5 linked regions of the Rattus norvegicus genome follow. The protein of the gene in region 1 interacts with the protein of each later gene in a pairwise test. Links are inferred from orthologs where the notes say so. Each region holds a gene or a part of one and is shown in the gene's direction. Other genes may lie near its edges. The genes, in order: Klc3, Cep57l1, Bicdl2, Ccnh and Tsnax.

The links.
Region 2: the proteins of Klc3 (region 1) and Cep57l1 interact in binary tests that used the Homo sapiens proteins (3 or more experiments, as listed by UniProt). The two-hybrid records come from large-scale screens. The link is inferred for Rattus norvegicus from reciprocal best matches to the Homo sapiens genes KLC3 and CEP57L1.
Region 3: the proteins of Klc3 (region 1) and Bicdl2 interact in binary tests that used the Homo sapiens proteins (3 or more experiments, as listed by UniProt). The two-hybrid records come from large-scale screens. The link is inferred for Rattus norvegicus from reciprocal best matches to the Homo sapiens genes KLC3 and BICDL2.
Region 4: the proteins of Klc3 (region 1) and Ccnh interact in binary tests that used the Homo sapiens proteins (3 or more experiments, as listed by UniProt). The two-hybrid records come from large-scale screens. The link is inferred for Rattus norvegicus from reciprocal best matches to the Homo sapiens genes KLC3 and CCNH.
Region 5: the proteins of Klc3 (region 1) and Tsnax interact in binary tests that used the Homo sapiens proteins (3 or more experiments, as listed by UniProt). The two-hybrid records come from large-scale screens. The link is inferred for Rattus norvegicus from reciprocal best matches to the Homo sapiens genes KLC3 and TSNAX.

The regions. Positions count from the first base shown.
Region 1 is NC_086019.1:88,180,537-88,184,841, reverse strand, and holds the start of Klc3 (kinesin light chain 3), read left to right. Parts: upstream 1-1,419; 5' UTR 1,420-1,448; intron 1,449-4,305. UniProt on the Homo sapiens protein: Kinesin is a microtubule-associated force-producing protein that may play a role in organelle transport. Plays a role during spermiogenesis in the development of the sperm tail midpiece and in the normal function of spermatozoa.
Region 2 is NC_086038.1:46,842,320-46,846,104, reverse strand, and holds part of Cep57l1 (centrosomal protein CEP57L1), read left to right. Parts: intron 1-1,040; exon of another isoform or gene 1,041-1,157; intron 1,158-1,719; coding exon 1,720-1,870; intron 1,871-1,894; exon of another isoform or gene 1,895-2,047; intron 2,048-3,785. UniProt on the Homo sapiens protein: Centrosomal protein which may be required for microtubule attachment to centrosomes.
Region 3 is NC_086028.1:13,194,900-13,199,236, forward strand, and holds the start of Bicdl2 (BICD family-like cargo adapter 2), read left to right. Parts: upstream 1-1,305; 5' UTR 1,306-1,379; intron 1,380-2,595; 5' UTR 2,596-2,608; coding exon 2,609-2,890; intron 2,891-4,337.
Region 4 is NC_086020.1:17,569,063-17,573,310, forward strand, and holds the start of Ccnh (cyclin-H), read left to right. Parts: upstream 1-1,431; 5' UTR 1,432-1,560; coding exon 1,561-1,677; intron 1,678-2,763; coding exon 2,764-2,886; intron 2,887-4,248. UniProt on the Homo sapiens protein: Regulates CDK7, the catalytic subunit of the CDK-activating kinase (CAK) enzymatic complex. CAK activates the cyclin-associated kinases CDK1, CDK2, CDK4 and CDK6 by threonine phosphorylation.
Region 5 is NC_086037.1:69,876,164-69,879,948, forward strand, and holds part of Tsnax (translin-associated protein X), read left to right. Parts: exon of another isoform or gene 1-2,457; coding exon 2,458-2,588; intron 2,589-3,785.

The DNA.
Region 1 (4,305 bases):
AATTAATACAATTTAAAAATACACACACACTCGGGGTTGGGGATTTAGCTCAGTGGTAGAGCGCTTGCCTAGCAAGCGCAAGGCCCTGGGTTCGGTCCCCAGCTCCGAAAAAAAGAACCAAAAAAAAAAAAAAAAGGAATAAATCTTCAAAATAAACAAACCCCTCTTGTTTATATGTCTGTACGTATACACGAACACACATGTATGTCTGCACATGTTCCATCCATGCATGTGGAGGCCAGGCTCTCCTTGGACGACTCCTGAACAATTCCCAGGAGTCAGTTTTCAGGCTCCATTTGGTTCTTGGAGATGAAACTCAGGTTCTCAAGCATGGCAGATAGCGTTTTTACTACCGTCTTGTCAGCCGGAAAGAAACTGTTGTGTAAGGTTCTGAGGTTGCAATTATTGAAACAGTATTTTTGGAGGTTTTTATCTTTATGTGCATGCTGTGTCTGTGGAGGCCCTGGAAGAGGGTGCTGAATCCCCCGGAACTAGAGTTACAGATGATTTTGAGCAACATGTGTGGGTTCTGGGAATTGAACCTGGGTCCTCTGCAAAAGCAGCCAGCGTTCTTACCTTAGGAGCCATCCTTCCAGCCCCTTCAAGAAAGTTCTTTTTTTCTTTTTTCTTTTTTTCGGAGCTGGGGACCGAACCCAAGGCCTTGCGCTTGCTAGGCAAGCGCTCTACCACTGAGCTAAATCCCCAACCCAAGAAAGTTTTAATTACGTTTTTATGTGTTTACTTCATATGTGTGAACGTATGACTGTACACATGTAGAAGTCAGAAGACAACATGTGAGAGCCCGTCTCTGTCCACCCTGAGGGTCTCAGGGATGGAACTCAGCCCCTCAGGATTGGCGGTAAGCACCTTTACTGTCTGAGCCTTCTCGCAGGACCCCAGACAGAGTTTACAAAAGTTCTTAAACTGCAGGCTTCTCCTACTGCAGCGGCGTAGGGCGTGCCCTGAGCACCTACAGGGGCGTGGCCTCCACCCGCCCCCGCCCCACCCCGATCCTAGACTGAGGATTTCTCAATGTGTGTCGACCGAGGGCGTGGCCTGCGCACCTGCGGGGGCGTGGCCTTGCCCTGCCCCATCCCCCTCAGGAGCCTCCCGGACCAGCGGCTTCGCAGCGGGAGCAGTCGGGTCTCCGCGCAGCGAGGCGGTTCAGACCGGCGGCCGTCAGGTGGGCACGGGAGACGGCGGCGGCTGCTTCGGGATTCCCGAGGGGGCCGCAGGGATGGAGAGAAGGGGCTATGGGTCTGGCGGCTCGGATGAGCCTCGGGGTCCCCGCGGGGCCCTGCCCCGCCCCTAGCCGGGTAGAAAAACAGCTGCGGGCGGGGCGGGGCCTTGTGACGCGAAGTACGGTGCAGGGTCTCCGCGGCCAGGGGAGAGGCTGGCGCGCTGTTGGAGAGTCCCCAGCTGCAGCCTGAGAGTGCAAGACGTGCATGGTGAGGGAGCCTGCGCGGGGGTGTGCAAAGAGAGGGAGTAAGGCAAGGGACACTGTGGAAACTGAGGCGGGGAGAACGGAGTTGAAGGCGAGCCTAGGCTTCGTACTCAAGGGAGACAGGAGGGTGGATTGTGGGTACAAGTGTCAAAGGGAGGAAGAAAAAGAAAAGGGGGAGAGAACCAACAAGGAGAGTAAAAGCACTTGTTGCCAAACTGTCAATTTCTCGAGTTTGGTCTGCAGGATCCACAAGGTGGGAGAAAAGAATGGACTCCCTTAAGTTGCAAGTTGTCCTCTGACCTTCCATGTGCCTCTGCCATACATAAAGGGAAAAAAATTAAATAAGGACCAGGCATCATGATGCACACCTTTAATCACAGCACTTGGGGGTGGGGGGTGGGGGCACAGAGGCAGATGGATTTCTGAATTTGAGGCCAGGTTGAGGGAATTCCAGGACAGCCAGGGCTACATAGAGAAGCTCTGTTTATATATTAAAGAAACTCTGTATCAATATATACATATATATACATATGTATATGTAAATTATATATCTTTTTTAAAGTAAGAAAGATTGTGGGTAAGAGTGTAAGAGTGTAAAAGGGAGATAGGTTACCATGTCACTCTGATGGGGACAGACCGAGTGAATGTAGGTGATCTTGTCTAATTGTCTCTGTGTGTGTGTGTGTGTGTGTGTGTGTGTGTGTGTTACATGTGGACTGTGCACAGTACTGAGCATGTGCGACTGAGATGCTGAGTCTGTGATCAGCTCTGTACTTGAGGCTGATTCACACGTATGACCATGGGTGACAGGGAATGGGCTGCCTAATGGGGTTGGATCTAGGTGTTATGTGACAGTTGGGGTGGAGTGTGTGGAATTGTGTCAGCGATATGTGACTGTCACTGACTAACTGTTGACTTTCTGGTTGTGTATCCCTGGGGTGGGGATCTGTGTGTGGGGGGGTATGAGTGTGACTGTGTCTGCAAGCTGGGGTTTGCATAGGTGTGTGTGTGTGCGTGCACGCTGTGTGCCTGCTGTGGACTGGTGAAACTCTCATGGGGCTCCTGTGAATGCTGGGGACAGCTCGAGTGGCAGATGGCTGCAGCTGAGCTGTGGCTGTCCCATGATTGTTGATCTGGGTATCAAGCTGTGGGAAGCTGCATATGGAGCAAAGGCTTCCTTGGGTCTGAGATTGTGCCATGGGGTGGTGACCCTGGCCACACTGGGGCAGAATGACTGGAGTCAGGATGGCTCACCCTGAGCTTGTGTGGTAAAGAGACTGACTACATGGTTTGTGAGGTTGAGCCCACTCGGGTTCCACACGCTCTCACCATGACCTTATTTATGTGTCTCTATATATGGTTTTGGTTTTGTTTGTAGAGATGAAGTGACCCTGAACACCGGATCCTCCCATTTCTTTTCTTTTCTTTTTTTTTTTTTTCCGGAGCTGAGGACCGAACCCAGGGCCTTGTGCTTGCTAGGCAAGCGCTCTACCACTGAGCTAAATCCCCAACCCCGATCCTCCCATTTCTGACTCTGAGTATTGGGATGACAGGTGGGAGAGGCCACATCTGGGGAGAAGTTGAAATGATTTTTTGGTTTTGTTTTGGTTTTGGTTTTTAGACAGAACTCACTCTGTAGACCAGGCTGGCTTTGGACTCAACGAAATCTTCCTGCCTCTGCCTCCTGAGTTGCTGGGCTTAAAGGTGTGACCACCATTCCTCTCCAGAGTCATAACCTGGTGGTACCCAGTTAGACCATTGGAATTAAGGTTTTGACTTTTTTTTTTTTTTTCCAGAGCTGGGGACTGAACCCAGGGCCTTGCGCTTGCTAGGCAAGTGCTCTACCACTGAGCTAAATCCCCAACCCCAAGGTTTTGACTTTTTAAAGCCTTTGGAAAAGCTGCTCACAAAGTAGAAAGTGTATTTCAGAGTTTGAAGTTGGGTCTCTTTTTGGGCTGGAATGCTGCAGGAGCACACACACACACACACACACACACACACACACGCACATGCATACACACGCACATGCATACACACACACACCTACTTGTTACTCTGAGATTTAGAAAACGCTGCTTCAGGCAGTCCCAAAATCATCAGAGGAAGTGGGGTGGGCACTGGACTCTGTGTGGAGCAGAGGATTATCTCTTTAAAAACTACATGTATTCAGCCCAACAGAGGTGGCTCATGCCTTTAATCCCAGCTCTTGGGAGGTAGAGGCAGGTGAATCTCTGAGTTCAAGGCCAGCCGGGTCTATAGAGTGAGTTCCAGGACAGCTAGGGCTACGCAGAGAAACGCTGTGTTGGAAACCAAACAAACAATAAACAAGCCCTCGACTAGTGCTGTCTGCCTGTACCAGTGCTTGAGGCGGCACAGGAAGGTTTAGCCAAGGATGGCTTGGAACCCCGATTTGAGAGCTCAGATCCCAGATTTGTACCATATGCCCATCCATCAACTTTTTATTTTTCCCTTATGGTATTAGGGATGGAATCCAGGGCCTTGGCAATGTTTGTCTAGCTGTGTTCCCAGTGTCTCCTTTTTCTTTTAAGATTTTTTTCTTTTTGAGGCAGAGTTTTTCTGTGTAGCTCTGGCTATCCTGGAACTCGAATTGTAGTCCAGGCTGGCCTGAACTCAGAGAGGCCTCTGCCTCCCACGTGTTGGGATTAAAAACGTGCCACTACCCCTTGCTACGATTTATTTTTATTTTATGTACATGAGCGTTTGCTTACAAGCATGTGTGTGCAGGAGGTGTGTGCAATACCCACATGGCCAGAAGAGGGCGTCAGATCCTCTGGAACTTGAATTGGTTGGAAGTCAGCATGTGGGTGCTCCGTCCTCTGCAAGAGCAGTAAGGGCTCTTC
Region 2 (3,785 bases), on another chromosome or scaffold:
GGTGTGGGCGGGGTATGGGTAGACATTGGAGGGTGTCTTTCTCTCCTGTGCCTTCGCTTGGGTTCCAAGGATGAAATTCAGGTTTACACAGCAAGTACCCCCACACACACCCAGAGCCATCTCTCGGTACTTCTTTATTTTCACTCTGCAGATAGTTTGTTGCTGTTTGTATCTACTCGACATGTGTTTATTAACAAGTCTCTTTATTGGCGCCTACTGAGTAGTCAGGATTTTATCAACATTAAACCTAAGCCAGTGTGTTTTGTTGCTTGTTGTTTGACAAGACCTCACTCATGTAGCCCAGGTTGGCCCTGAACTCCCAGGAGCAGAGAGTGACCTTGAACTCCTTATTCTCCTGTATCACCCTTCCTAGTGCTGGGATTCCGAAGGTACACAGCCCTGGTTTCTATGATGCTAGGGATGGTATAACCCTGGATGTCCTGGAACTCACCCTGGAGGCCAGGCTGGCCTCCAACTCGCAGAGATCCATTGCCTCTGCCTTCGAGAGCTGGGATGAAGGAGTGTGCCACCACTCCCAATCTTCTAATTTGTGCCAAGATCTGATCTGAAATATATTATACTTGGGTCAGAGTAGTCTTCATTTTCCAAACTGTGTAGAAACTGAGATATGTTTTATCCATCCCATTATTGGAGGGACAACCCAGGAACTGAGAAAGGAGCCATATATACTGAATGACTCTAGTGTTTTGAGGAGATTCTTACCAACCTCTCTGTTTCTGAAGATACATATCCACCTTCAGAACTTACGTTGGGACTCTAGTAGACTCCACCTCATAGTGAGCCAGCCGTGACTAGCTTAGTATCTTGCTTTTTTGAGGGAATCAGCCCTCACAGGAGAGACCGTGAATAAACAGCCATACCCCAAGGGCATTGGAGACAGGCTCAGTCAGTGGGAGTGGCTGCAATCATGGAGAAGCCTGGGTGCTTCCCAAGAGCAAAGAGCAGCAAGCGTTTCAATGAACCTGCCTCATGCAGCCATACGAGGTTGTCATGGCAATAGCTGCAGTAGAAAATTCTAGAAGCTACAGTAGAAAATTCTAGAAGCCTCCCTTTTGCCCTTCTCAGGAATACTGTCATGGAGAGAAGCCAGATTTTGCCTCTTTAACCAGGAAAGCCCTGAAGTCACAGAAAATAATGTAATGCAGAAATAAAAACTTAGTATCTTTATGACATTCTTTAGTTACATTTATAAAAAGCTCTCTGGCTTAGAATTGTGCCAGTGAGTGGTACTTGAAACAAATACTGCCTCAACTCATCCAGTGTATCTGTGAGTTAATGACACCAGCCAGCATTCAGTAGATAATTAGTGTGAAGGCTCCTTAAGTGGAAGTGTGTGTTACTCAGGGATTACATCCAGGAATTTCATCTGTTAATGTCTAAAAGTACTATGAGACTATTGTTAATGGCTGCTGTTGAAAACCTGAATTGTCTGAGTATGTACCTGAAATCCTAGACTCATAGTTTTATGGCTGAGGTACATGTAACTTAGGAACACCCAGGAAAAAACGTCTCTCGCTTACACCACATACATTGCTTGTTTATTACTGAGTTTAACCTAGTTGACGTGGTAATAGTTAACTTTGTGAATGTATAACTGTGTAATGTATTGCTAACGGCTACATGCTGTGTCATCGTGTGTGACTTAGCTGTCCTTTGATGGGGTCAGTGACACCACACCCTGTCTCTCCATCCCCACAGACAATGGATGCTGAATTACCGCACAGTATGATTGGGAGCTACCTTAACCCTCCAGAGAGAATGTATCTCCCGTCGTTCTCACAGACCGAAGCATCTCAGAATTGCCACCCCGGGAGCTCTCCTAAGATGTTTAATAGTCCGAACAACCAAGGTAACGCTAATACGAACGAACGAACTCCACAGAGCGGCAGGAGCAGTGCGTGGCGTGGGAGTGACCCGGCTGTGGTTATGCAGAAGTGCTTGACCGTGTATTGAGTGTTCACACAGCCCTTGACCAGCGCTGCTGCTCTTCCCTGGGAGCTTCGTAGGTCACTCACCATTCCCAAAAGTAAGCTACGGATTAATGAGGCAAACTAGGAGATATCATAGTTATAATAAAAGTACCTTTGAAAACAAAACCACTCTCTTAGGGATAAAAGTCAAAGGCCAGGGGAGTGGTAGCACGTGTCCTTCATCCCAGCTCTCAAGATGGAGATCTTCATGATTTTGAGGCAGCCTGGTCTATACAGCAAGTTTGAGGCAGCCAGGGCTAAATAAAGAAATCTTGCTGCCTCAGACAAACAAACAAAAAGAATAAAATTGTACTGCTAGCGTGATAAAGTAAAAATTTTTTTTTTTTTTGGTTCTTTTTTTTTCGGAGCTGGGGACCGAACCCAGGGCCTTGCGCTTCCTAGGTAAGCGCTCTACCACTGAGCTAAATCCCCAGCCCCTAAAGTAAAATTTTTATTTAGGTTTTTCTTAGCTTTTGTTTCAGGGTCTCACACTGACCTCGAAACACCTCTCCCTCCCCGTGCAGCCTCTGCAGTGCTGTCGCATAGGCAGGTGCCACCACACAGGCTGGGCCGCCAGACGGCGGGTCTGCACCTCCTTCCCACCACAGAGTTCGCCCTGGGCCCCATGGTTCTACACTCGCTAGCAGAGCAGAGCAGGGGGGCTTTCTAAGAATGCGTGCAGACCAGGCTTAAAACGATTTTCAACGATTTTCAATTTTTTTAATCTTAGTCACATGATTATGATGTTAGTCTCCATGGCTTCAGAAGGATGACATTTCACTGAGGAGCACTTTCTGCTTATCTCTTCTGACCTCTCAAAATGTCTGTTTATAAATTAGTCTTTTTCTATTAAATTTCTTGTCAATTTGGAAATAAAATAAAAATCCAAGGACTATCAATAGAGAGATGGTTCAGGGGTTAAGAATGCATTCCCAGCAGCCACATGGGCGAGGACTGGTGCTGGAGGGTTGTCCTTGGGCGTGTGTGTGTGTGTGTGTGTGTGTGTGCATGTGTGCATGCACGTGTGTGTGCCATGGCACATGTTCATCCACACACACGTGATGTACACATACAAATGAAAAAGTTAAATAAGTACATCAGTAAAAGATAGAATAAAAATCTAGAGTCAGAATCCTTCTAACGTAGATAATCAGAATGCCAGTGGGATTGTATCATATTCAAGCAGCAGTCAGAAGTCACACATATCCACAGTTACCCTTAAATCCTTTTATATCCAAGTAACAATAGAAAGTGACTATTGCAATGTTTTAAACATAAACCAAAGAGAACCTCAAATCATATTAGAAAATAGGACTCCAGAAATATTTTATGCTTTACAAATTACTTTATAAGATCTGTTTATCACCCTTCAAAAAATCCGTAGTAATGGTTACTGTCTTAGGATTTCTGTTGCTGTGATAAACACCATGACCAAATTCTGCGGTGAGGAAAGGGTTCATTTCCACTCATCACTGAGGGAGGCCAGGGCAGGAGGCAGGCGAGCTGTTTGCTTCCTTACTCCTCACGCTTGCTCAGCCTGCCTTCCTGTCGCACCCAGGATGACCAGCTCAGAGGCAGCTGCCAGCAGAGAGCCAGGCCATCCCCATCAATACATAAATGCACCACGGGCCAGCCTGGTAGAGGGCTGTTTCTCATTTCAGATTCCCTCTTCAGACGACTCTGACTTGTGTCGTGTTGATGGAAACCCACCAACACCATGACATCAGTGAATCTCTGTTGAGTTAACCAACCATAAGAGAGTGATCCAGAGCAGTGAGCCAGCCCTGCGCCAGG
Region 3 (4,337 bases), on another chromosome or scaffold:
TCTCTGCATCAGGTCTGGGATTCCTGTCCTGTGCTTCAGGAAGCCCTAGTGTCTAAAGTGGATTACTAGGAGCCATAAGACCAAGGCTGGGGTTTCACTTTGTGAGCTGGTCCGACATCACCTGCCTTGGCTCCTACCCCTCCATACCATGACTGCTGGTCTTGCTGGAGCATGAAGCCCAACTCTGCAGAAAGAAAGAACTGAGACCCCCCTCATCTGGAGCCACGTGGACGCAGGTGTGCTTCAAGGCAAGCCACCTTAAGTGCCTGGGAATCAGCGTCCTGTATGCTGCACGGAATTATTAAAGAATAAGATACCAGAACTGGCAATATAGTCAGTCGGTAGAGTACTTACCTAGCACACACTGGGCACTGGATTCAAACCCCAGCATTAGCTGAGTGTGGGGTGGTGCATGGCCGTCACCATATCAACCACCAGGAGGTAGAGCCAGGAGCACCGGAAGCTCCCAGTCCTCCGCTGTTTAGTGAGTTTGAGGCCACCCTGTGATACATGAAGACCCCCCCCCACCTCTCTCTCTCTCTCTCTCTCTCTCACACACACACACACACACACACACACACACACACACACACACACACACACAGAGATTCCTCCTCACACGTTCACTGTTCCAAATGATAACACCTCCCTGTCCCCCATTGGCTCATATATTTGAAGGCTTTATCCCCAGTTGGTTGATCTGTTTGGGAAGGATTAGGAAGCCAAACTTTATTGGAAGACAAGCTCATGCCAGGTCCTCACTCTTCATCCTCACTCTCCTTCCTGCCCATGTATCAGAGGTAAGCTCTCACTACCTACTGCTCCACTACCAAGCCTGCCTGCCTGCTGCCATGCTCCCAGCCTTGTTCGTGGTCTCCAACCCTCAAAATAAATGCTTTCTTTTATAAGTTGCCTTGATCATAATGCTTTGTCACAGCAATATAAAAATGAGTAAGACAACAAATTTGTACCCCAAGTTAAAAAAAAAAAACAAACCTGTCAGTAGCTGCTTGCTTCCTTAGGATGTCACAAAGGGAAAAATAAATTCCTTTCTTAGTGGAGGGCTTACCACTGTATCCTTACTAATAATTTTCTATCACAAGGGCAAGCATGAAGAGTAAGAAGCTGACTACTTTGCTGAGCCTATAGAGCTGCACATAGTAGGTGTTCAATTAATGTGCCCAGTAGGAGCAAGATAGATTCTTTAAGAGGATGGATGGGACTTTCCTTTGGCAGTGTCCAGTCATTCCCACCACCAGGGGGCGACCCAGCCCCTCCCGCAGCACCGCCCCGTCACCTGTGCAAGCCTGCACCTGGCGCCGCCTCCGGAAGAGGTCTTCGGGGATCGGGGAACCTCGGAGAGAGCCGGGTGGCGACAGGTGAGAGCCTAGGGGGTGCTGAGGGCGGGACACCTAGGTTTGGGGCATGGTTGGGGAGGACCGGTCGGAACGGTAGGATGAAGGCGATCGGGAACAGCCTCTAGGGACTCTGGAAGTAACTCCGGGAAGCCAGGACACCTGCAGCAATGAGAGTGGTGGCTGGGCATTGGATATCCAAAAGCAGGGTCCGGGAACCCACTGTGCCCAGCCCCTAGGACAGCTGGACCCGGACATGTATAACACCTGGGATTTTCCGGCCCAGCTGTACTTGGCACCTGTCGAGGGGAGGGGAACAGGTGTTCGTGGGCTCCCGGGTGAGTAGGGGGCGGGGACCCTACCGGGGTTGGCGTGGAGAAATCAGAGTGTCAGGCCTTTCCTCTGGAGCCCCTGAACCCCTCTCCCTGGGAGGCCCTCATAAAGCATAGGGCTCCCATCCCCAGGGGCGGGCCGGGAAGTAAACAGAAACCCGAAGTGGAGGCTGTGGCGCGCTGGCTGGCACAACCTGTTACCTCGCCCTGTGCTGGGTCAGCGCCAGGGACCAAGGAAATTGGGGGTCTGCGGACGAAGGCTCCTAAGTCAGGAGGGGTAGAGGCAGGAATACCTGAGTCTTGATAAAATAAGGATTCAGGAGATCCCACTAGGAATCCAGGAGAGGGGCGCGATGGCCATCAAAGCTGACAAGGCTAAACCAAGTCTAACGCACTTGGGTCCTGAGAAAGTAGACAAGGATATGGGAAGGCAAAGAGCCAGAGATCTGAGTTTCTGGAAGGGGAAGGAGTTGGATCCCTGTGGCTAAAGGGTCAAGACACAGCTGTTCCCACTGGTGAGAACTGCACTCTCAAGATAGGGAGTTGGTTTCATCCCTAAGACTGCGTCTATGTGAGCCTACCATTCTAGGATTAGTGCCCAAGTGGTGAGGAACTAGGAAGAGGAGCAGGGTCTGTCAGTGGGTTGCTTGTGGCACCAGAGTACAGGGACAAATCTTCCAACGAATGGGTGACAAAGGCAGGAGAGGTGGAGAGCAAGGTGGCTGGTTTCATTCTGCTTCCAGACTCAATCTACCCTGAGGTCATTAACGGAGCTGGGTGGCCAACAAGGATCATTAACCCTTGTTGGCCCAGGCTACAAGATTGAGAAGCTTAGGTGTTTGCCACTAGGGGGCAAGCCCGGGGGCTGCTGCAGAATGGCCATGTTCAGCAACAACCTGTCTTCACAGATGCGTAGGCACCATGGACTCCCCTGGTGGGCCAAGCTTCTCTTCCGGGCTGCTCTCAGGGGGTGCTTCTCCTAGTGGCGATGAAGGATTCTTTCCCTTTGTGCTGGAGCGTCGAGACTCCTTCCTGGGAGGAGGCCCAGGGCCAGAAGAACCAGAGGACCTGGCACTGCAGCTGCAACAAAAAGAAAAGGACCTGTTGCTGGCCGCCGAGCTTGGCAAGATGCTTCTGGAGCGCAATGAGGAGCTTCGGAGGCAGCTGGAAACACTGAACGCTCAGCACTTGGAGCATGAAGAAGTAAGCTGGCCCGGGACAGGTGGGGGGGGGGGGCACAGGCAGGGCTGGGATAGACGGGAAGAGCCAAGCGAGGAGAAGGAGAGAGGACATATGGGAGAGCAACAGATCTCAAACAGATCTGGGCAGGGAAGCCAGGGAGAGGGCAAGCCTGTAGTCCCAACACTCCAGAGGCTGAGAAAGACTACATCCAAGACCTGTCCCCAGAGAAAAAGAGCCAGGCATGGTAGCACAAACCTTTAATCTTTAATCCCAACACTTGGAAGGCAGAGGCAGAATGATCTCTGTGGGTTCAAGGCCAGCTTGGTCTACAGAGTAAAATCCTGTCTCAAAAAAAAAAAAAAAAAAAAAAAAAAAAGGAAGGAAGAGAGGCTGGAGAGAGGGCTCAGCGGTTGAATGCTCTTCCAGAGGTCCTGAGCTCAATTCCCAGCACCCACATGGTGGTTCACAACCATCTGAAATGGGATCTGATTCCCTCTTCTGGTGTGTCTGAAGACAGCGACAGTGTACTTATATATCTTTAAGAAAGAAAGAAAGGGGGGTTGGGGATTTAGCTCAGTGGTAGAGCACTTGCCTGGGAAGCGCAAGGCCCTGGGTTCGGTCCCCAGCTCCGAAAAAAAGAACTAAAAAAAAAAAAAAAAAAAAAAAAAAGAAAGAAAAAGAAAAGAAAGAAAGAAAGGGGCTGGAGAGATGGCTCAGCCATTTAAGGCTAGGCTCACAACCAAAAATATGAGGAAGAAAGAAAGAAAGAAAGAAAGAAAGAAAGAAAGAAAGAAAACACACACATAGAGAAAGGACTCGCACATACACATTAATTTAAAAAAATAAAAGCTAAGAAAAGAAGAGCAGTGGGGGATGATGGGTACTTGGTATGATGACAGAGTTCTTGCCAGGTAAACGCAAACCAGCAGCTCCTGTATGCAGCCGTTGGAAAGTGAAAGCAGGACGTTCAAGGCTGTACTTGGCTATATACTGAGCTTGAACCCATCTTGGGCTACATGAGACCCAAAAAAAAGAAAGAAAGAACGACAACAAGAACTCTAAATTGGAGGTGTAGTTCAGTAACAAGGTATTTTTGTAACACGTGCAAGGCCTTGGGTTCAGTCCCCAGCCCAGCAATACATAATCAATAAATATCTCAGGCAGGGTGTGGTAGAGCACAGCTCAATCCGGGCATCCCAGGAGGCAGGGACAGGCAGGTATGTGAAGCCAAGCTGGTCTCCACAAGCTCTAGACCAGCCAGGACTGCATAGTGAGATCCCATCTCAATGACAGATAAAAAACTTAAGGACAAACAAGACCTGTGTTCAGATCCCTGTCTGGCTCTGTGACCCTGGGTACAACGTTGGTCCTCTCTAAATCTAAAGGCTCACTCATCAACAAGCCCTGCCACTGGCAGCCACTGCCAGACTGTGGGCAGCTAAGTGTCCCCATATACCTCTCCTTCATT
Region 4 (4,248 bases), on another chromosome or scaffold:
TACCTAACATCGACTTTGGCCTTTTACACGCCTGTTACACATGTATACATGTGTCTTAGGGTTCTCTAGAGTCACTGAACTTACGAAATGTCTTTCTATATTGAGAAAATTTATTGTGATGACTTATCAGTCTGTAGTGCAGCTACCCCAACAATGGTCAGCAGTGAATGGGAAGTCCAAGAATCTGGTAGTTGCTCAGTCCCTCCAGGCTAGTTGTTTCAGTTGGTTTTCCATAGAAGGTTCCAACGGATGTGCTGGCAAGTAAATGCAAGCAGGCGAGAAGAATGAATCTTCCTTCTTCCAAAGTCCTTATGTAGGCCTCCAGCAGGTGTGTGGCCCAGAAGGCATGTACCACCATGCCTGGATCTGGGACCTATTTTTGTCTCAGGCTGACTTTGAACTCAGAGATCTCCTTGCCCCAGTCTCCTGGGATTAAAGGAGTATGCATACTTCCTTGCCTGGGCCTAACCTTGTCATAGCCACTGTGCTTCAAGATCTCTATGCCAAGATCCAGGTTGGAATCTTGTGTCTTCCAGCCTCAAGACAGGGTCACAGGTGAGCCCTCCAATTCTGGGTTGTGGTTCATTTCGGATATAGTCAAGTTGATAACCAGGAATAGTCATTACAACATGCATACCATATACACAAAGATATGCAAAACTTACTTCAAGTTATGTAAGTAAAATTGATCCTTATTCTTCTGGTCCTCTTTTCTCCCTTTCCTGTTAAGAGCACATAATCTTGAATTCTTTTAATTTTCTCCTTATCCTAGAGATTTTAGGATAAGACTTTAAGAAATGGGATATTTCCTCAAAGCAAGAAAGGAAATCCTAGTACTATCTATGTGTGTGCTCTTGCTGGTAACTTTAGTAAAGTATGTAAAACCTTTCTTTGGAGACCATGCTCTGCAAAGCCAGATCTGTGATTGCAATACTCAGATTATAAATTATATTGGCACTCAAAATACTTAAGAGTCTGTCTACAAACAATACATAGGACAATTTAAGACTGCACAAAGACATTTGTGTTTGTTTACAAAAAAAAAAAAAGCACTGAAAAATTTCCAGGTAATAATTTACATCTTGGCGGTGTCCAATAAAACAGAATTGTAAAACTAGCATCCACTTTGTCTTCGGAGATGGGAATACTGGGAAGATTAAAAACCTCTGGAGAAAGGTTGCATTAGCTGTAGCTTGAATTCGCATCCAGCACTTCCATTTTCCAATCAAGTCCCTCTCTCCACAGGTCCTGAAGTCCCTAGTGCTCACGAGTCCTCGGGAACCAGGATCACTGCAGCCGCACCCACTTCTGACGCTACCAGGCCACGTCCGTCAGACTCCTCCCCAAGCCTGGGAGCCCCGAGGCTCCGCCCTCCCACGTCGCGGAATCCCTCCCTAGGGTTCCGGAAAGGCCCCGGGCAGACGCAGGCACGTGACCGTGACGTCACGCGCGCGCCTGCGGTCTGGGCCGAGGGTTCTCGCGTTGGCAGTCGCTCGTGGCTGCTGTCTCCCGGAGTGTCGCTGTTTCTGTCTCGGCCCTGCGGCCCGTGAGGGCTACAGCATGTACCACAACAGCAGCCAGAAGCGGCACTGGACCTTCGCTAGCGAGGAGCAACTGGCGCGTCTGCGGGCCGACGCCAACCGCAAATTCAAGTGCAAAGCTGTGGCTAACGGGAAGGTGAGGTCCCCGCGAGCCAGCCCCTGTGCCCACCCTGAACCTGGGGACCCTCCTGAAGTCTCGCTTTGCCTGCCGGCTGGAAGCTTGTAAACCGCTCACCTGGCCGTGTCAGTGCAGACAGTGACTGACGCGACAGTCAAGTCCCGGGCGAGTAACATCCTAGGGAATAGCGAAAGCCTTGATAGAGTGCGGATTTTAGTGCGGGACTCGAACTGGTCACTGGTCTTTCGGGATGTCAGGACAAACCATTATCTATAGTTGGCAGGAGGGAGGGCAGAAACAGCCGTTGGTGTCTAGTTGTGAGTCAGACTCGAAGGAAAGTATGTGGAGTGCTCGTGGTCATTCGTGGGTGAAGCTGTACCTCTGTGGCAGTGGTTGAAGAACATGGGCAAGCAACTTGTAAGTGGAAGTGTAAGGAGGATGAAGCTCATGCCAGAACTGAAGGGGACTTTCCAAAGACTTCAAATGGGAAAATGATGGCTTGTTGGATCTGCTTTCCAGAAACAACCTGAACTCAGAATGTTGCACAAGGAAGCCAGTTGAGTATGGCTTGTTCTATGGTACTGGTCTTCCTTCAAGTTTCCCACTCATTTTTATTGTACTGCCCTGAGGTAACTCAGGCAAATAAGATTTGTATTCCCAAAACAAGAAGGTGGCCAATGAATTGAGGTGGTGGTGGTTGTTGTTGTTGATGATGATGATGATGATGGTTTAATTTGGGTGACACATTGATTGGCTGAGAAAACTACTTTGGGAGATTTCCAACAAGTGAAAATATGTATCTTCTTTTTAACTTACAAATAGTGGTTTCAAACCTGGGAGTATATTGGCATACTCTGTCATGATTGTTTAAAAATGTCCAAATTGACAGTTTGAGAACTTGTGAAATGAAGACCTAGATTCCGTTTATTGATTTTGTGTATTATTTTCCTAGATATTTTGCTTAATGCCTAGCAAACTTACAAAGAGAAAAAAATGTAAGGTCTGTTTTTTGTTGATGGTATGAGTCAGATTTAAGCAAGACAGAGAAGACAGTTGTACAATTAATGCACTGAACTTACATTGAATTGTTTGCTCTGTCTAAAGGTTCTTCCAAATGATCCGTTGTTTCTTGAGCCTCATGAAGAAATGACACTTTGCAAATACTATGAAAAAAGATTGTTGGAATTTTGTTCAGTGTTTAAACCAGCTATGCCACGGTCTGTTGTGGTAAGTAGTTGTAAAGAAGAATATGCTTGTTAGCTAGCTTGAGAGAACTGAACTCTTACTCTTCACCCTTCCTCCCCACCCCCCACCCCCGATAATTTTATTTTTCACATTACATTCCAATCATACCACCACTACCACTACCACCTCTTCTCACCCTTTGCAAATCTCAGAGAAGGGAAGCCCTTCCCCCTTTGGGTACCACCCTAGATCTACTCCCAGAAGCATCTTCTCTTCCACTGAGGCCCAACATTCAAGTCATTCAATTTGGGAAAGAGGATCCGATGGCAGGCAACAGAGTTAGAGACAGCCCCTACGCCAATTGTTAGGGACCCATATGAAGATCAAGCTGCACATGTGCTACAAATATGGAGGGGGTCCTAGATCCAGCCCTCTTTGGTTGGTGATTCAGTCTCTGTGAGCCCCCATGGACCCAGGTTAGTTGGCTCTATAAGTCCTTTTCTGGTGTCCTTGACTCCTCTGGCTTGCTCAAGTCTGTCCCCCAGTCTTCCACAAAACTCCCCAAGTTCTTGATGTTTGTCTCTGGGTCTCCGCGTCTGTTTCCATCTGGGCCTAGATGAGGCGTCTCAGGAGACTGTTATGTAAACTCCTGTCTGGAGGCACAGCAGCGTTTCAGTAATAGCGTCAGTTGTCTCTTTCCCATGGGCTGGGTCTCAAGTTGAGCCAGTCACTGGTTGACCTTTCTCTCTAGTCTCTGCTCCATCTTCAATCTTATCTTACAGGCTGGACAAATTTTGGGTTGATGGGTTTGTGGATGGATGGGTTGATGTCCTCCTCCTTTCACTGGCAGTCCTGGCTAGCTACAGGAGGTGGATATTTCAGTCTCTATATCCCCTGGTCATAGGAATCTCAGCTAGAGTCACCCCCAGAGACTCCCCAAGCCTTCCCTAGGTGATAGTCTCAAGTTCTGTCTATTTCCCTCCAATTTCATGATGTGTTTGTTTTTAATAGCTGAATAGTATTCCATTCTGTAGATATACCACATTTTTTAAATTCATTCTTCCATTGAGGGACATTGGGTTGTTTCCAGTTTCTGGCTATCATAAAAAAAGATGCCATGAACACAGTTGAGCGTGTGTCCCTGTAGAACAGTGGAGCATCTTTTTGGTATATGCCCAGAAGTGGTTTAGCTGGGACTTAAGATCTATTCCTAATTTTCTGAGAAACTGCCAAACTGATTTCCAAAGTGGAGCTAAGGATGTTGAACATTTCTTCGGTGCTTCTCAGCCATTTGAGATTCCTTTGTTGAGAATTTTGTTTAGCTCTGTACCCCATTTTTAATTGGTTTATTGGGTTCTTTATATATTTTGGATATTAGTCGTCTGTTGGACAGTCCTGTACAAT
Region 5 (3,785 bases), on another chromosome or scaffold:
CATATCTACTTTTAAGTTGGATTTCTTGTTTCTCTTACATTTTAAAAATCAATCCCGGTAATTTATGACAGCTGGTGGGGGCGCTTACAAGGTCGTTTGTTTAGTGATGGGTCTGGATTCTCTTTCTTTCTTGCTTTGTCTGTTTCTTGTCCTTTGTCCTTTTGTTGTGCTGCTTGCCTTACCCTCTGAGCCTTCTTTCCAGCCCTCTGTTGTCTTTGGAGCCATAGTCTCTGTAGTCCAGGCTGAACTCAGGGTTCTTTTTGCCTTCTCATCTCTTGTGGTGGACCTGTAGGTGTGTGCCACCATACTGGCTTCTGTCTCACTCTGGATTGAGTGTGTCTGTTTGCAGGTGCACATGGAGGGTGGGTGCTGCTTCTGATTCTTCTGTTCTCTGACTTAGACTTGTTTTGAGATAGGGTTTTCACTGAACCTAGAGCTTGCTGCTTTGCCCAGACTGGCCCTGAGCTGCAGGCATCCGTGTGGCTCCTCTGACCATAGGAATTAAAGATGTTCAACACCGTGGCTGGGCTTTTACTAGAGTTCAGGGGGTCTGAACTCAGGCCTTCAGGGTCCCATAGCACGTACTTCACCCATTGAATCTTATCCCCAGGGTCTGAACTGACTATTCTTACTGTTTGTTTGTTTTAGTTTTTAATGATGGAAACAAAAAAAAATACCTAAAATTGAAACTTCTGGAAAAACCATTTGTTCTTTCCCGTCTTGTATCACTCCTCAAACTTGACCTTGGCCTCAAGCCTGGCCTTGCATTTCAAAGCTGGGTCTCTGAACACATCCTTGTTGACAACAGTTTTGTCCAAGGGGATATCCCCAGAGTACCTTGCGGGCATGAGGTGGTTGTAGTTAAAAACTTTCACGAAGGACTTGATCTTGGATCTCTTGGCAATCTTTTTGCCCATGGCAGCTGACACTTTTCAGCGATAGTGGTCAATTCCAGCCACCAGGGCATGGCTGTGAGGGTGTCTGAGGTACCATCATCAGTGATCTTCAGGATGACGGCTTTGTGTCTGGAGTGCTGTCCAGCCAGGACCAGCACTAATTTCCTGGGCTTCATGAACTTGCCCATTTCGACAGCAAGCAGCTGGTACCAGAAGAAAGGAAAAAAGGACGTTTTTTTTTTTTTTTTCAGGACAGGGTTTCTCTGTGTAGTCTTGGCTGTCCTCGAACTCACTCTGTAGATCAGGCTAGTCTTGGATTCAGATGTGTTTGCCTCTGCCTCCTGTGTGCTGGGACTATAGGCCTGTGTCACCACCAGCCAGCAACTGTTATCTGTTTTAGAATTATTTTATGTGTTATTTACCTGCATGTGGAAGCCAGGGGATAGCTTTGTGGGGTACATTTTCTTATTCTGCTTGAACCTGTGTCCGGAAATCAACTCCAGGTATCTAGGCTGGCACAGCATCAGTGGCCCTGGATTGGATATTTTTTGTACCCCTGTGTGTGTGTGTGTGTGTGTGTGTGTGTGTGTGTGTGTGTGTGTGTGTGTGTGTTCGTGATTGCTTAATTGAGTTCGATGTGTGTCTCAACAGTCTGGATCATCTCTCTCAGATAGTACTGGGTAACTGGAGCTTATGGAGACCAGACTCACTTAGGTGCTTCTGTATGGCAGCTAAGGTGGTGACTTCAGGTCTGTGTTGAGGTGCCTGTCAGCTCTTGCACTGCCCTGGAGATAAGGGCTGCTCCTGTGTCGCTTTACCGCAGCTGCACGGCTTAGCATACAAGGAGGCTTCCTTTCCCTCCTACCCCAGCTTTCTGGGCCACCGTGGCAGTTCTGTCACCTCTGTTCATCCTACCTGCAGGACACCATTCATCCTACAGATGCACAGACACACATTGGCCCTGCAGTCACATGGACCCCCATGCCCATCTGGGATGAGTTTCTCTGTGCCTGAAGGACTCGGTTCATGCACATGCAGTGTCCTGCTGATGAGTGGGCTCTTCCCGCTTTGGAGGCTGTGGGATTGTTCTGCCTGTCTGCCTACCCACTCGAGTACCCGGCCACTGCAGCAACCTGTACTCAGTCGGAGACTTGGGGAGTCCCTTACAGTGCAGTGTGTTAAAGCACTGTCCTCCCGAGACTCTCCCTTGCTCTCTGCCCTGCCTGTTCATCCATGACCTTAGTTCGTGACCTCCTTAAACTTTCAACTTTTCAACTCAGGACTTTGGCTCTGCCTAGGTTCTTCCTTCCTACCTTGTCAGGAGGAAACTTCTCCAAGCCTTGACTTGGACATTGGGTGTGTCTTCAGGACCCTGATTGTTGTCCTGTCTGATGTCCGCGTGCTTGGGTGCAGTGTTTGAGACCTTTGTTGGCACGCTCTATTAATTTGAGTTGTTTTAGGTGGAAGCAGCCAAGTCCAGAGGCTGATTGCTATGAATAGGGCTTTTCTTATCATTTTGATCACAAGGCCGACGTTTTCAAGGTTCCTGATCTCTTTCCAGTGCTCCTGATATGGAGGAGATTCTGACTGAATCAGAAAGTAAGCTGGATGGGGTCAGACAGAAAATGCTGCAGGTAGCCCAAGAGCTCTCAGGAGAAGACATGCACCAGTTCCATCGTGCTGTCACCACAGGTGAGTCTGAAGGAGCCCTCGTGTGCAGAGGGAAGAGCACAGCTTGTGGCAACTGGTTTTTCCTTCCACCATGGGGGCCTCAGTAATTGAACTTAGGACATCGGCTTGGTGGCAGGTGCTCTACCCACTGAGCTATCTGCTGATGCCATGCAAAGAACTTCACACACACACACACACACACACACACACACACACACACACACACACACACACTGTGTGTGTGCAGTGCTGCCTTACCTGGCTGTACAGGGAAGTGCTGAACAGAAGCAGCAGTGGCACCTGCTCTCCAGCTCCACAGGGAGCTGCATCTGTGACTGTGAAAGTTGCTTCAGTTGCACTTAGGAAAAGAAACGTATGTATAGTGTGGATGGCAGGAGGCCATGAAAAGCTGCTGGTGTCATTGGTAACTGCTTGCTTTGCTGTTTCTCCGAAAGGCTGTTCTTTTGACTTGAAGATAAAATAGGTCTGGCTTTGAACTAAGGAGTTTTGTGCTTATTAAGCACAGTGCTGGTAGTGGGGCACGGTGTTTCCCTGAGAGGGCTGTGAGCACAGACAGCTTCATGGTTCAGCAGTGCACCCGGGCTGAGGCAGACTGAACTGTCCAAAGGCACAGTTGGACAAGTACACGCCCACTAACTGCTTGGAACGTAAGACGTTTCCATGACGTCTTCTGTTGTTGAGAAGTTAACAGGTTGGGGAATGTCCTGCATCTTAAACAAATTTTCATACTGTTTTAGCTTAGTCTACTCACTGATACTTACCATGTTTTGAGATGTTTACATGTGTAAAATAAACTGCTTAACTCCTAAGTAATGTAATTATTTTATTCAAGAGTGAATGATGGGTTAGATGAGTGTCTGGTCACCTAGAGGTGGGTGTTTTCAAAATAGGTAATTGTCTACATTGCTTGCCCAGCCTTGACACCAGTGCAAAGTGTCCATTCTTCTGCCTCAGTAGTACTGTCATTGACACGGGTACAAAGTGTCAATTCTTCTGCCTAGGTGGTATGTGTCACTGACACGGGTACAAAGTGTCCATTCTTCTGCCTAGGTGGTATGTGTAGTTGCCATGGGTACAAAGTGTCCATTCTTCTGCCTCAGTGGTATGTGTCACTGACACGGGTACAAAGTGTCCATTCTTCTGCCTCAGTGGTATGTGTCACTGACACGGGTACAAAGTGTCCATTCTTCTGCCTCA